Linked DNA regions of Coturnix japonica. The protein of the gene in region 2 purifies or fractionates together with the protein of the main gene of each other region. This does not show direct contact. Links are inferred from orthologs where the notes say so. Each region holds a gene or a part of one and is shown on either strand. Other genes may lie near its edges.

Region 1 (4,620 bases), on a different chromosome or scaffold from region 2:
CGCCCTGAACTCTGTGGGTGCCAGGGAGTATGTTCTTCCCATTTTATTCCCAAGGCTTCAGCTATATTTCTAGTGATTCTTGATGTAAAGTGTGGTCCTTGATCTGATCTATTACTTCTGTTACCCCATACCTAGGGATGATTTGTTCGAGTAATATTTTTGTTACTACCTGAGCTGTTGCTTTAGTTGTGGGGAATGCCTCTACATAATGTGTGAGGTGGTCTATTATGACTAATACATATTTATATCTTCCTACTTTAGGAAATTCGGTAAAGTCAATTTGGACTCTAGAAAATGGCCTAGTGGCCAAGGGTCTTCCCCCCATAGGCAGTTTTCTTTGTACGGCTCTGTTTATCTTTAAGCACGTAATACATCCTTGAGTAATATGTCTAGCTAAATTATGTAGGCCTATACACATGTACTTAGTGGCAAAATGATCTATTAAAGCTTGGCTTCCCCAGTGGGTCCGTTCGTGCAACTGGGTCAGCACCTGAGATGCTATTGACTTAGGCAGTACCTCTCTCCCGTCAGCTAAATACCACCTCCCTTCTGTGTTTTTAGTTATTCCCATTTGATTCAGTTTTTGTTCTTCCTTCGGTGTAAACGAAGGGGCCTCATCATGTGTCAATTCTTCCTGCCTCTCCTGCCTCAGGACCAATTCCCTGAGGGCAGCTTGCTTAGCTTCTAGGTCTGCTGCATTATTTCCTCTAGTCTTGTAATCGGTCCCCTGTTGGTGTCCTCTAAGGTGTACCACCGCTATCTTTTTGGTTTCGTAGGCCACTAAGAGTTGCTTTATTAATTCTTGATGTATTAAGTTCCTTGGAATTTATCAATCCCCTTTCTTCCCAAATCTTCCCAAAGGTATGTATTACCCAGCTAAACATATATTGGAATCGGTATAGATAGTGCCCTCTTTTCCCTGTAATCTTTTTAGTGCCTGTAAAACAGCATACAGCTCGCAAGCTTGAGCTGACCAAGTGTTACTCAAGGGTCCTGATTCCAATACCCGGAGGGTCTTTCCATCTACTATTGCATCCACGCCTTGCACACGCGCTCAGCAGGAGTCCAGGCATGAGAATGACTGAGCCAGGCTGTGCCTGTGCTGAAAGCTGAGCAGTGAGGGTGCCTCTGACACGGAGCATCGCTTGGTGACATCTCAGCCTGTAGCTCAGTGATGTCACTGACCAGCACTCAGCCACAGTGGTTTCCTGTCTCCTTTGCAGTATTCCTTTTCCTGGAGGCAGGAGACCTCTACCCCCACTAGCATTGGACCTGCGATTTGGCAGATGAGAGGCTCCTCAACAGCTCCCCCTGGTTTGGGAGGCTGTAGCGGACCCCAGCCACTAGTTGTCCTTTATTTGTCTAGGCTGCCTGCTCTCAACCAGGTGACAGGTGATCACCCCCACCTGTCACACAGACCCTAGCCCATACGCAGACCTCTCACCTGAGCACGTGTAGCCATGGAATTACAGAGTCTACAACATTGCCGTTGTATGGAAAGTACTGACCCATCAGTGTGAGGAGAAAACTGTGTGGACCCATCACCCAGGTTTGCGAACCTGAAATAAATAAGCGTTGTCTCTATTGTGCATGTGATGAGTGACTTGTTGCACATCGGGTGGCATCTGAAAAGAACGAGCGGGGCATTCAAGCGAGGCATGACTTGTTTGGGACGTTTGAGCGCTCGGAACAAGCCTTCAGCAGGGCGAGGCCGGGCCGCCTCGGAACTGTCCGTGCCCGGAACGTTAGTGCTCCGTGCGGAGGAGCAGGGGACGCGTTTGATTGTGGCACCACGTCCCTTATCGCCGGGTCCGGGTGGAATGGAGGAACTGGCGGCGGAGTTGGGCGCCCTGACGGCGGAGCAGGCGGCGGCCCCCGTGAACACGGTGGAGGTGAGGGCAGCGGCGTGGAGCACGGCGTGGAGCACGGCGTGGGGCATGGGGTGGTGGTTCTGCGGCAGTAGGGAACCCTGCAGGCGTCTGGGTGCTGCCCTGGGTCGGTGCTGCACAGCACGTGTGGCTGCTGAGTTGGTCCCAGTCATCCCTTAGGGGGGTTTCTGCTCGTCTGAGCTGACTTTGGGCAGTGTTTGATTCTTTTCTAAATGACGCGAAATGCAGCTGCTGTCACAAACCTTTATCAGCTGTCACAGATGTTCGGTCACCTTGTGGAAACCAACTTTTCCACTGTGTGTTTTGGTTGCAGGAGAAATGGAGGCTCCTACCCGCGTTCCTGAAGGTCAGTGCGATGCACCGCCCCGGGCGGGAACACCCCGAGCCCTTTGTGCTTCACAGTGTGTGTGGTGCAGTGCCGGCAGGTTGTTTAGGCTCCCATTGCACCACAAGGCCCTCCCCGTGGTCTTTATATCAACTCCCTATGGACGCTGCTGTTGAGTCTGCAGTTGTCCTTGTTGCGTTCTGCAGAGGCTGCAGTGTAAGGTTATCTCTGCTCACAACTATCAGAGGTTGGTTGAGCTCAGAAATTGCTTAATTTCAGTGTTACTCTCATAATCTGGTATGAGGTGAAGGCACAGCGTGCAGTCCCTGCAGCCTTTATTTTGTGGCAGCCTAGTAAGTGTGATCCTTGCAGGAAAACAGGGTTCTGTTGGTTTTATGATACTGCATATGAGCAACTGCTCTCTCTTCCTACCTAGAAATCAGATTTATTGTGAGAGTCTGTCCTGTCCTTCTGTGGCTGTTCCCTTCCTTATTGACTTCCTTGACACCCCACTTGTCTGCTCTCACTGACTTAGTGTGGAACCAGACAGATTGCCCAGGCAGCTCTAAGATATTTGTCCACTGAAAAAATGTAACAGTGGTTCAAAAGTGCTTATAAATGCTTATATTTCAATCTCTACCTTATTTCAGTGTTGTTAAAGCTGATGCTATTTGCTGCATACATGTATTTTCCAGGTGAAAGGACTTGTGAAGCAGCACATAGACTCATTCAACTATTTTATCAATGTGGAGGTATGTTTTCTTAGTGGGAAGGGACTGGCTGTTAGGAGTCAGATAAAAAGAAATGGTTCAGTTCTTCTTTTCTTTTTTTCAGATAAAGAAGATCATGAAAGCCAATGAAAAAGTGACAAGTGACGCTGATCCAATGTGGTACTTGAAGTAAGTATAAGGCTGGTTTTCCTAATGAGAATAGCTTGCATACAGTCACATGAGTTTGTTAGTGACTGTGAAGTGTTTACAAGCATCAGCCTGAGCATAAATGGAGCAAAGCTCTTGCATACTTTCCTCTCACTTGGACCACATACACATGGGTGCTTAAAGAATAGTCCTCATAAGTAGACTTAACTCTGTTGTTAACAGTGCCTTATGTCACTATCTTTCTGTAACTTAGCAGTTTCAGGTGAAGGAAATCTGTTTCCCTTCTTGCAAAGGTAATGTGGGTTTGTTTTTGTATGTGCAGCTTAAGTTTTAACTAAAACACTGTTCAAATACAGCAGGTTACTTTGGGATGAATCATTGCTAATTGTTAATCAACCTTCTTTCCCATGAAAGCAAATTCATTTTCTACTTATTGTAGAACTCCTTTTCCTTCAAGTTGCCTGAAAGACATTTGGCTCGTTTTGAGGTTGTTTTGTGTTACAGATACCTCAACATCTATGTGGGTACTCCAGATGTGGAAGAAAGTTTCAATGTGACACGACCTGTATCGCCTCATGAGGTACTGATATTTGTGTCTGTGAGGGGTTATTTGTTTGACCTTAGTAATGCCTTGGATAATTGCTGCATCTGATTTTACTTCAGGCACATGCATGCCTTGTTTCATGATACAACACATGCTACCATGCTTGTAAAAAGAAGCCTCATATTTAAACATGGCATAGTAAATCTTCCTTCTATTATTGCTCTGACGTGTGTTGTATTCAGTGTTTCATGGCAGCTACATTTTACGCTGTAGATCACTTCAGACCCAATCTTCTTTGGAAATACATCTCTTACAGCTTTTAAGTCTAAGTCAGATAGAGAGCAAACACATAACCTTTGAGCAGTTAGAAGTTGAAAATATTTTTCCCCATGTAATGTATGTGGTACACTTCCGACTTTCACAGAGATGTTCTGTGGTTGGGAGAGCTGCTGTAAAAAAGCCCTCTGCTGGTTGTTGTAACATTAAATCAGTGCATTTAAACGTGCACAAAATGAGATGAGAAAGATTCTCCATATGTGAATGAAATTGCACGTGAGAAATTGTGGCTAACAACTCAGGCCTAAGAATGCAGTAATCAAAATTCTTGTCTTGTGTTGTAAAGCAAGGTGATTGTACAAGCACAATGAAGGCAAAATAAATGCTTCAGGGAGCATATTCACCCTGAATTTGGAATAATCAACTCTTGTATCTCAAATCTTCTCACCGACGCTTATTGCTAGACATTGTTTATTTTTTCTTTCAGTGGGTTATAGTATGTTTTATGTGGACAAAGCACACACAAGGAATGCTGAAGCCTTGTTTTCCTCAGATAATACTGAGTGATCTAACTCTCCTTCTCACACAGTTCTTTTGTGAGTTTTGTCAACTGTTTGTACAGATGAATTTGAAGTAATTAGAAATGAATATGTTCTCAATTACTTTTAAATCCAACAAAGTTGCCAGGAGCACAGTGGGATCCCATTT
Region 2 (4,515 bases):
TATTGACCCCCTCATGAGCTGCCCACATCCCCTTTGCCAAAGGAACACACTTTTGGAAGAGAAACAGCACAAGATGGACACAGGATCCAAGCGGGGACAACGTCCTGGTGGCTTTTTGTCCCCTGCACCCCCAGCAGAAGTGACACCTTTGTGTGCCCCTCCCCCACAGCCCAGGGCACAGCAGGGACGTGGTGCAGGAAGGAGGCGGCCACCAGCAGCCATGGGGCAGCTCAAGGGCGTCCTCAAAGTGCCACCGCTATCACCGCCCTCAGTGCCACCTCCCAGGGCTCTGCCCCGTAACTAGAGAACACTTGTGACCCAAAATCCCCACATCTATTCAACAAAATCACTCAACGAGGGCAGGGGGCAGCAGGGGGACAAGGCTACGACACCAGGACGCCGGCAGTGCCGCCCTTGCCCCCCTCGGTGCCGTCCTTGGGGGGCTGCCGGGGGTCATCCTCGCCCACCAGGCGGATGTTGTGCTTCTCACGGAACTCGTTCAGCTCGCGGCCTTTGCTCTGCAGCTGCTGGCTCAACGACTCGATGATTTTGCTGATCTGGGAGGAGAGAGAGGAGGGGCTTTAGGGGCTTTATGGGAGGGAGCGGAGGGGTCTGTGGGTGCCGGGGGGGTTTGGAGTTACCTGCTCTCGGTTGCCCTCGAGTGCGGGCAGCACCTCCTTGACAGTGCGCTCCACCAGGATGCCCCCCACCATGCGGTAACACTTCCGTGTGGGATCCACCTCCCGCAGCGTCTCAATCACGAGGCTGTTGGGGGGGGGGGGGTCCGTCAGCCCCCGTCAACCCTGCAGCGCTCCCAGCGTTCAACCAGATCCCTCGTTTCATCACAGCGTCGCTCCCACCACTCCTCATATGTTTCCTCCTCCATCCAGGGAGGCCCCCCCCCCCATGCAAGCCCCGCCACACCCCAGTGTCAGCTCCTATCCTCCAACCAATACGCCCTCCACATCCTCCCCAAGTCACCCCCCCATACTCGATGACCCCCCCCCACATCCTCACTGTCCCCCCTCATATCCCCAACGTGCCCCGACACATCAGTGTCTCCTCATCCTGGTGTCCCTCACACACCCAGTGACACCCCAGCGTCCCCCCCCCCCCGTACTGTCCCCCCCCACCTTCCACACACCCATTTCCATCCCCCCACATCCCCCCCCCTTACAACGTCCCTCACACACCCATCCCACTGACACCCACACCCCCGCTGGTTCCCCCTATCCCAATGCCTCCCCCATTCACTGTTACCACCCCCCCTCCATATCCCTTTGCCAACCCCCATCTTTCTCCCAGCCCACGCCCTTACACCCCCATTACCCTCCCATTCCCTTCAGTATCCCCCCAAACCCATTCTGCTGCCCACCCCTCCTTGGTACCCAATGTCCTCCGTGCCCCCCCCCATTCCCTTGCTTGCCCCTATTCCATAAACGTCCCCCGTTTTTTTTTCCCCCCCTTTTTTTTTCCCCCCTCACCCATTTGCCCAGGTGCCCCCAACCACTGCTTACCCATATCCCCGTACCCCCAACATGTCCCCATACCCCCCCATGTCCCCACAACTGGGCCCCATTGTCCCCACACCCCATGTCCCCCACTCCACTGTCCCCACACCCCCCCCCATATCCCCGTACCCCTCATGTCCCCGGCTACCCCACCCAAAGACCCCATGTCCCCATACCCCCCCCCGTTCCCCATACCCCCCCATTGTCCCCACACCCCCCCCCCAATATCCCCGTACCCCCCCCATTGCCCCCCTAACCCCAAGTCCCCACACCCCCCATATCCCATACCCCCCATGTCCCCACAATCCCCCCAAGCTCCCGCTTACCCCCCATATCCCATACCGCGCGCCATGTCCCCACACACACCCCATGTCCCCAATGCCCTCCCATGTCCCCACACCCCTACTATTCCCCGCATGACCTCCTCCCATGTCTCATAATGCCAACATCCCCCACGCACCCCCCATTCTTGTTATACTTCTCCCATGTTCCCCGTACCCCCCATATCCCCATACCCCCCACGTCCCCACACCCCCATGTCCCCGTACCCCCCCCCATATCCCTGTAGCCTCCCATGTCCCCATACCCCCCCATATCCCTGTAGCCTCCCATGTCCCACACCCCCCATGACCCCAAATACCCTCCCCTAGTTGTTCCCCCCACACCCCCATGACCCATAACCCCCCTACTGGCCCCATGTCACCATAACCCATATCCCCGTACACCCCCCTCCCATGTCCCCATTAACCCCTCCCATGTCCCCATACACCCCCATATCACCGTTACTCCCCCCAATGTCCCCACACCCCCATGGACCCCATGTCTCCATACCCCCCCCCATATTCCATTACCCATGTAAACCCCTACCCCCATATCTCCACACCCCCATCCCCACATGCCTCCATGTCCCCACACCTCCCCATAGCCCCATACCCCCCATGTCCCTGTACCCCCCTCATATCCCCACACCCCCCCCATATCCCCACACCCTCCCCATGTCTCCCATTACACCCCCATACACATGTACCTCCCTCATGTCCCACACCCCCCCATGACCCCATGTCCCCATACCCCCCATATTTCCCTACCCCCATGTTCCCCCTTATAGCCCCCCATGTCCCCAGTCTCCATACCCCATATCCCATACCCCCCACGCCCCCCCATATCCCATACACCCCCATATCCCCGTACCGCCCCCATGACCCCCAACCCCCCATATCTCCACACCCCCCCAATATTCCCCCACCACGCCTCCCATGTCCCCACACCCCCCCCCCATATCCCGTACCCCCCCCATGCCCCTACACCCCTCCCGCGTGTCCCCACGCCCCCCCTATATCCACCACCCCATATTCCCCACACCCCATATCCCCACAACCCCCCCATAATCCCATAACCCCACATTCCCATCCCCCTAACCCCAGCCCCACCCCCCCCCCCCCCGTCCCGTTACCCCCCGATGTCCCCCCCACCCGTGTTCGTTGAGCTCCAGCTCAGCTCCGCCGCCTGTTGGGACGCCAGGCCGCCGCTGTTCCTGTCGTAAACCGGTTTGAACGAGCCAACCACCTGCTCAAACAACCACACAACCACAACCACCGGGGATGTCACCGCTGGGATCCCGGGATCGTCCCTCTGTCCGTCCCCAAACCCCGCCCCGCCACCTGTTCCGCCGTCCAGCGCCTTCCCGCCCGGCCCCGCTGCTCCGGGCCGCCCCTTTCGCGCTGTTCCGCCATTTTCCCCCTCCACCGTTTTTGCGTCTCTTCCGGCGCACACCGGAAACTGGGCAGCCTCTCTTCCGGCGCAGAGCGACAGCGAGTAAAGCTCTTCCGGTGTATACAGGAAACACCATGGAAGCCATCTTGGTTATGGCTCAAAACCCGGCAGCGGTGGCTATATGGTGAGGTAGTGCCGGCCGCCATCTTGTTGTGGCAGGGACTTTGCCCATTGACCCCTCATCTGTCACGCCTCCCGCCTCGGTGCGGGGCCGCGAGAACGATATTGTACGGGCCGGGGGGGGATACAGGGTTCTGGAGAAATCCTGTGGGCAATGGGAAGAGAGAATCAAAGTGGGCATTTAAGGGCAGTTGGAAGGTTATCATAATAGGGGGGTGATTTGAAGGTTGTTGGGGTTCTATGGGGTGTTTGAAGGGTGTTGGGGGTTCTATGGGGTTGTTTGAAGGGTGTTTAGGGGCGATGGCGAAGCAGTATGGGGGCGTTCATAGGGCAATGTGTGGCCAGTATGAGAGGGTTTAAGGGCAATGTCGGGGCAGTTATGGGAGGAGTTTGTAGCGGCAATCGTGAGGGTCATGTATATGGGGGTTCTATGCGGGCAATGTGGGGCAGTATGGAGGGTTCTATGGGCAATGTGGGGCAGTATGGAGGGTTCTAAAGGGCCAATAGTGGGGCCAGATATGGACGGGCATTAGGGCAATGGGGGCAGAAATGGAGGGTTTCTAAGGGAAGTGGGGCAGTATGGAGGGTTCTAAGGGCATGTGGGGCAGTATGGAGGGTTGTAAGGGCAATGTGGGGCAGTATGGAGGGTTCTAAGGGCAATGTGGGGCAGTATGGAGGTCTAAGGCAATGTGAGCAGGAATGGAGGCGGTTCTAAGGGGCAATGTGGGGCGGTATGAGGGTTCTAAGGGGCAATTGTGAGGGCAGTCACTGCTAGGTCTGTCAAGGGCAATGTGGGGCAGAATGAGAGGCGTTGTCAAGGGCCAATGTGGGGCACGAATGGGAGTGTTCTAAGGCAGGATGTGAGGCGCAGAATGAGGGTTCTAAGGGCAATGTGGGGCGAGGAATTGGAGGGTTCTAGAGTGGGCAATTGTGGGGCAGAATGGGATGAGTTTTGCTAAGAGGGCAATTGTTGGGGGCAGAATGGAGGGTTCTAAGGGCCAATGTGGGGCAGAAATGGAGGGCGTTTTCTAAGGGCAAGAGCCTGTGAAGAAGCAGTATGGAGGGTTTCTGAGGGCAATGTGGTACGCAGAAATGCGAGGGTTCCTAAGCC
Region 3 (4,761 bases), on a different chromosome or scaffold from region 2:
TGCAACGTAACGCCTTGCAGCTGGGCATGGGAGTGCCCCATGCTGTTTCTCCATCACTGTGGCTGGGTGTGCTCCTCCCAGCAGCGGTCACTGGGTGCTGGGGTGCTGCCAGCCTGCCTCAGCTCTGCTCCAAATCCTACTTTTTAGACGATGCACTAGCTGCATAGCCAGGCTCTTACCATTCCCTTGATCCTCTGTTTCAGGGCTCGGCACTGATGCAGTTCTACCTCCTGGAAGATGTGAGCCATGGAGCCAGCACTGTCCCTGGGACCCTGAAGTGCAGCAGGATGAGGCTGCATCAGGGTTTACCTGGCAGCTGTGCCTCTGGAGGGAGCTTTGGTGGCCTCCAGATGGAGGGGGCTGGGAGCGATGCTCTCGTGCAGGCTCTGAGCCAAGCCGGCTGCATGGGACTCTCCAGCAGCTTGGGGCAGCCCCTGCAGTGTATGCAAGGGGACGAACTGTGAAAGGCTGGGAGAGCAGGCTCGAGGCTTCCGTGGGCACAGGAGGGGTGGGAGGGTAACAGCTATTTAACAAGAGAATGTTCCTTTTAAATTATATATTTATTTTAGATAAATTGTACATAGTATTTATATTTATTGGAGGTCTGCCTCTGTACCCTTTGTGTAACTCAAGATGACCCTTGTGTGGGTCAGACCTCCTTTATTTTTTAAGTGCAATGTAATATTCTAATAAATAACTTTGTAACAAACACGTGAGTTGTTGATTTAAGAGATGTGGGTCAGGTCTCCAAAGGGTACAGATAACAACTTGCCCTTTATGGTGGGGTACTAAAACTACCCAGGAGCATCTGTGGAGCAGCGGCACAGATCTCAAGCCTGCTGGCCTTGGGGTGCAGCAGGGATAATCCTGCTGGGGTACTCCCTGGAGGGGGGAGGGTTATGGGGAGCTGGGGTGTGGTCTGCCCTGCTCCTTGCCCTGGAACCTGCAGCTGTGGCAGCCCCGCGTGTTCTTGTATCTCGGCTGGCTCATGAATGGCTGCAATGCTTGGGTGAAGCAAAGCCACCTTGAGTTCAGCCACTGCAATCTAAATCCAGTGCCCAGCAGGGGCCTGGAGCAAGGCACTGAGCCCTGCCACCCAGCCTGCCTCCCTCGAGTGCTCCATCCCACTGCTGACACTCCTTGTGCCCCAGCACTGAGCCCTGCAACCTGCAGCACACCTCCTCCTCCACGAACACCGGCTGTTCTCCAGAGCAAGGCTCGTAGGCAGGCAGAATCTTTGGATTTAATTTAAAACCAAATCCAAACCAACACAGTGTGTTACAGCAGCCTGTTTGATAACCAAGTGTTGGTGCAGTGCAGTGCCACCATTGCTCACCTCACAGCCATGATCTGCATGGAGCAGAAGAGCTGCAGCACTGCAGGAGCGGAGCTCGGCCTGCGCTTCTGAGGGAGGCAGCCAAGGAGAAACCCCAAAGCTGCAGTGCTGCCTCCCTTTGGGAACAGCCACAGCCCCGCGGGTGGTTCCATTCCCCCCAGAGGAGCATTGGTGGGATGCTGTGAGGGCTGAGCACCTCCCCGATGAAGGCAGGCTGAGGGAGCCAGGCTTGTTCAGCCTAGAGAAGAGAAGGCTGTGGGGTGACATCATTGCAGCCTTCCAGCATTTAAAAGGGGATAATAAACAGGAGAGGAATCAGTTTTTTACTGGTGTGGACAGTGATAGGACAAGGGGGAAAGGTTTTAAGCCCAAGGAGGGAAGGTTTAGGCTGGATGTTGGGGGAAGTTCTACACATAGAGCGGGGAGGTGCTGGCACAGGCTGCACGGAGGGGCTGTGGATGCCCCATCCCTGGCTGTGTTCAAGGCCGGGCTGGATGGAGCCCTGTGCCATGTATCAGATATGGAGGTCGGTGGGCTGGAACCTGCTGCTCCTCGGCCCCCTCCCACCCCACCCCGCTCTAACCTCCATTCGGCCGCAGCCCGCTCCGCCCCGCCCTCCCACCGCCCCCACTGCGCAGGCGCCGAGCGTGGGGAAGATGGCGGCGCCCGTTGACTTGGAGCTGAAGAAGGTAACGGGTGTCCGGCTCCGTCCGACGTGTTTCTCGGGCCGCTGCTCCCCCTCCTCCCCCTCCTCCCCCTCCTCTCCCCGCAGTTTGGGCCGGCTCGGCCCGGCCGGGCGCCCCCCGCCCCTCTGCCCCCGGCCCGGCCGCAGCCGCTCGACGTGCCGCTCTGCCACCACAGGCCTTCACGGAGCTGCAGGCCAAGGTGATCGACACGCAGCAGAAGGTGAAGCTCGCCGACATCCAGATCGAGCAGCTCAGCAAGAGCAAGAAGCACGCGCACCTCACCGACACCGAGATCATGACGCTGGTGGACGAGACGCGCATGTACGAGGGCGTGGGCAGGATGTGAGTAGCGGCCGCACCGTCCCTGCAGAAGCAGGGATGCTGGGCTCCACGAGGAGCATCGGGGGAGCATCAGTGTGCACCCGGAGTATCGGTGTGCACCCGGAGTATCGGTGTGCACCCGGAGCATCAGTGTGCACCCGGAGCATCGGTGTGCACCCGGAGCATCGGTGTGCACCCGGAGCATCGGTGTGCACCCGGAGCATCGGTGTGCACCCGGAGCATCGGTGTGCACCCGGAGTATCGGTGTGCACCCGGAGTATCGGTGTGCACCCGGAGCATCAGTGTGCACCCGGAGTATCGGTGTGCACCCGGAGCATCGGTGTGCACCCGGAGTATCGGTGTGCACCCGGAGTATCGGTGTGCACCCGGAGCATCGGTGTGCACCCGGGCACGGTGCCCTGGGCAGCACCAGCGAGTGTGTGTCGGGCTGGTGGTGTCCACGTGCCTCAGCATTTGGAAGTGAGCACGAGGCTGATGCGCACTCGAGGAGCCGCCTGCCCGCGCTGGGTGGTGTCTCACACCTCACACCTGCAGTGATGCACCTGGGTTATTCTGGCAGCGCAGCTCTGACTGCAGCAGCCTCATGAAGTGCAACACACAAACTGGGTTCCAGTCTGACGTGTGTGCTGACTCACTGTGCCGTGCTAACTTTCTGTGTGTGCTTTTTCTCTTCCATTGTGAACTGGGCAACAGTGATGATTACGCTTATTCAGGGATGATGTTTTATAGAAGGTTGAATCTGATTTGATTGCTGCCCACAGGGCGATTGCATCTCCCCGCTCCCAACTCTCCTTTGTGCTGCAGCAGACTTGTAGCTGGTTCAGCCTGCTGTTGCGGTGAGTTCCTGGGCCTGATTCATGTCATCACACAATCTGTTGGGTGAGTCTTAGGGAGCTGCGGGCTGGGAAGCCAGGACTGGTATGTGGACTGCGCTTCACTGGTAGTTGTCAGGTAAGACCAATGGGAAAATGAAGCTGTGCCTGGGTTCATCCTGGGCAGCCTGATCTAGTATTTGGCAGCCCTGCCTGCCGCAGAGGGTTGAAGCTCAGTGGTCTCTAGGTCCTTCCCAACTGAAGCTCAGTGGTCTCTAGGTCCTTCCCAACTGAAGCTCAGTGGTCTCTAGGTCCTTTCCAACTGAAGCTACTCTGTGATTTTGATGGGGGGGTGTGTAGCGTGACAGCCTTCTTTGGACCACTGTGGAATTACTCCTGTTAAGTTTTCCAAGCAGATGAACTTGGGTTTGTGTGGAGCTGCTGATGATGTTGAAAGGAGATAGAATTTGCAGATCTCTTGCAGGAGATAGCTGATATGACCCAGGCAGGCTGTAGGCTCATTGTTTTTGTCACAGAAAAGACAAACTAAGAGATTCTGGAAGCAACAATTTTTCTTCAAATTTTTTTTTATTTTTTTATCTTTAATCTTAAAGCAGGGTATACTTCTCCATTATGAAATAATTCCTCAAGATTCTTTGAAAGCATCAATATATCAGCCTTCATTGTAAAATGTTGGTTGTGAATGAGATAATGTTTCTGTGCTAACTGAAAAGTACTGTCCTGCTTTCAACCCAGCTGCTGGAGTCCAGTCTTTTTGAGACTGTACTCTTGCTTACCTTCATGTGACCGGGCAGGTGGTTCAGACTCTGCTGTGCAGCACTTTGCTCCTCAGTGATGGTAGAAAAATACTATCTGCATGATATTAGTCTTCAAATGTTTGAAGTGTGAACTCTTTGCGGGTTCTGTTGTCCTAGTCACTATGCAAATTCAGGTTAAGAGTGCTCATGCTCTCCAAACTACTTATTCACTGATTTATTTTACTTTTATTTCCCCTTCCTTAGCTTACTGCAGTGTTTCTGTGAGTTATGCCTGATTTGGCCATGGGGCTTAAGTCTGCCTTTCAAATTAGTAGTTCTATTTGGGTAGAACGAGCTATTCCAGGACTTTGTGAAAACGGAGTGTTTCAGGAATGTGATGGTGTGCTGTATCCTGGGAAGAAGTCTACCTAGTTCCATACTTCTGCGCTACTTGTAAAGAATTATGTGGTTCCTGCTCTGAGCCCAGAGCCTGCTTCCTGCCCAAGAGGCTTTCCCTGAGCCACTGGCAAATGTGAAAGCCCATTTGTTGTTCCTAAACATTTACTGTAGCTAATTTTGGTTTAACACAACCATTGTCAGTGCCACATAGTATGAGGTGATGAATTGCTGTGTACTGTACATATCTGTTTGACTAGGATATCATCTGAGTAGTGGCACCGTGCCAAATACATTTTCATTCTCTTACTTCATGCTCTTTGAAAGGCTTGTTATCTAGCCTGAGACAACTACCACTGTGGTGGACTCCTGCTTAAGCTATTTGTGAACTGATATCATCGTGCTGCTTTGAGAACTATGCCGAAAGCTTA

The links.
Region 1: the proteins of PFDN2 (region 2) and POLR3B purify together in Homo sapiens (affinity purification with mass spectrometry; 3 studies listed by BioGRID and IntAct, with this or other methods). This does not show direct contact. The link is inferred for Coturnix japonica from reciprocal best matches to the Homo sapiens genes PFDN2 and POLR3B.
Region 3: the proteins of PFDN2 (region 2) and PFDN1 purify together in Homo sapiens (affinity purification with mass spectrometry; 5 studies listed by BioGRID and IntAct, counting the BioPlex papers as one, with this or other methods). This does not show direct contact. The link is inferred for Coturnix japonica from reciprocal best matches to the Homo sapiens genes PFDN2 and PFDN1.

What each region holds. Positions count from the first base shown.
Region 1 is NC_029516.1:49,237,094-49,241,713, reverse strand, and holds the start of POLR3B (DNA-directed RNA polymerase III subunit RPC2), read left to right. Parts: upstream 1-1,759; 5' UTR 1,760-1,820; coding exon 1,821-1,892; intron 1,893-2,202; coding exon 2,203-2,235; intron 2,236-2,909; coding exon 2,910-2,966; intron 2,967-3,048; coding exon 3,049-3,113; intron 3,114-3,596; coding exon 3,597-3,672; intron 3,673-4,620. UniProt on the Homo sapiens protein: Catalytic core component of RNA polymerase III (Pol III), a DNA-dependent RNA polymerase which synthesizes small non-coding RNAs using the four ribonucleoside triphosphates as substrates.
Region 2 is NC_029540.1:2,483,364-2,487,878, reverse strand, and holds PFDN2 (prefoldin subunit 2), read right to left. Parts: upstream 3,245-4,515; coding exon 3,173-3,244; intron 3,046-3,172; coding exon 2,984-3,045; intron 766-2,983; coding exon 642-765; intron 558-641; coding exon 384-557; 3' UTR 86-383; downstream 1-85. UniProt on the Homo sapiens protein: Binds specifically to cytosolic chaperonin (c-CPN) and transfers target proteins to it. Binds to nascent polypeptide chain and promotes folding in an environment in which there are many competing pathways for nonnative proteins.
Region 3 is NC_029528.1:15,558,089-15,562,849, reverse strand, and holds the start of PFDN1 (prefoldin subunit 1), read left to right. Parts: upstream 1-1,900; 5' UTR 1,901-1,992; coding exon 1,993-2,025; intron 2,026-2,197; coding exon 2,198-2,364; intron 2,365-3,125; coding exon 3,126-3,200; intron 3,201-3,321; exon of another isoform or gene 3,322-3,455; intron 3,456-3,487; exon of another isoform or gene 3,488-4,761. UniProt on the Homo sapiens protein: Binds specifically to cytosolic chaperonin (c-CPN) and transfers target proteins to it. Binds to nascent polypeptide chain and promotes folding in an environment in which there are many competing pathways for nonnative proteins.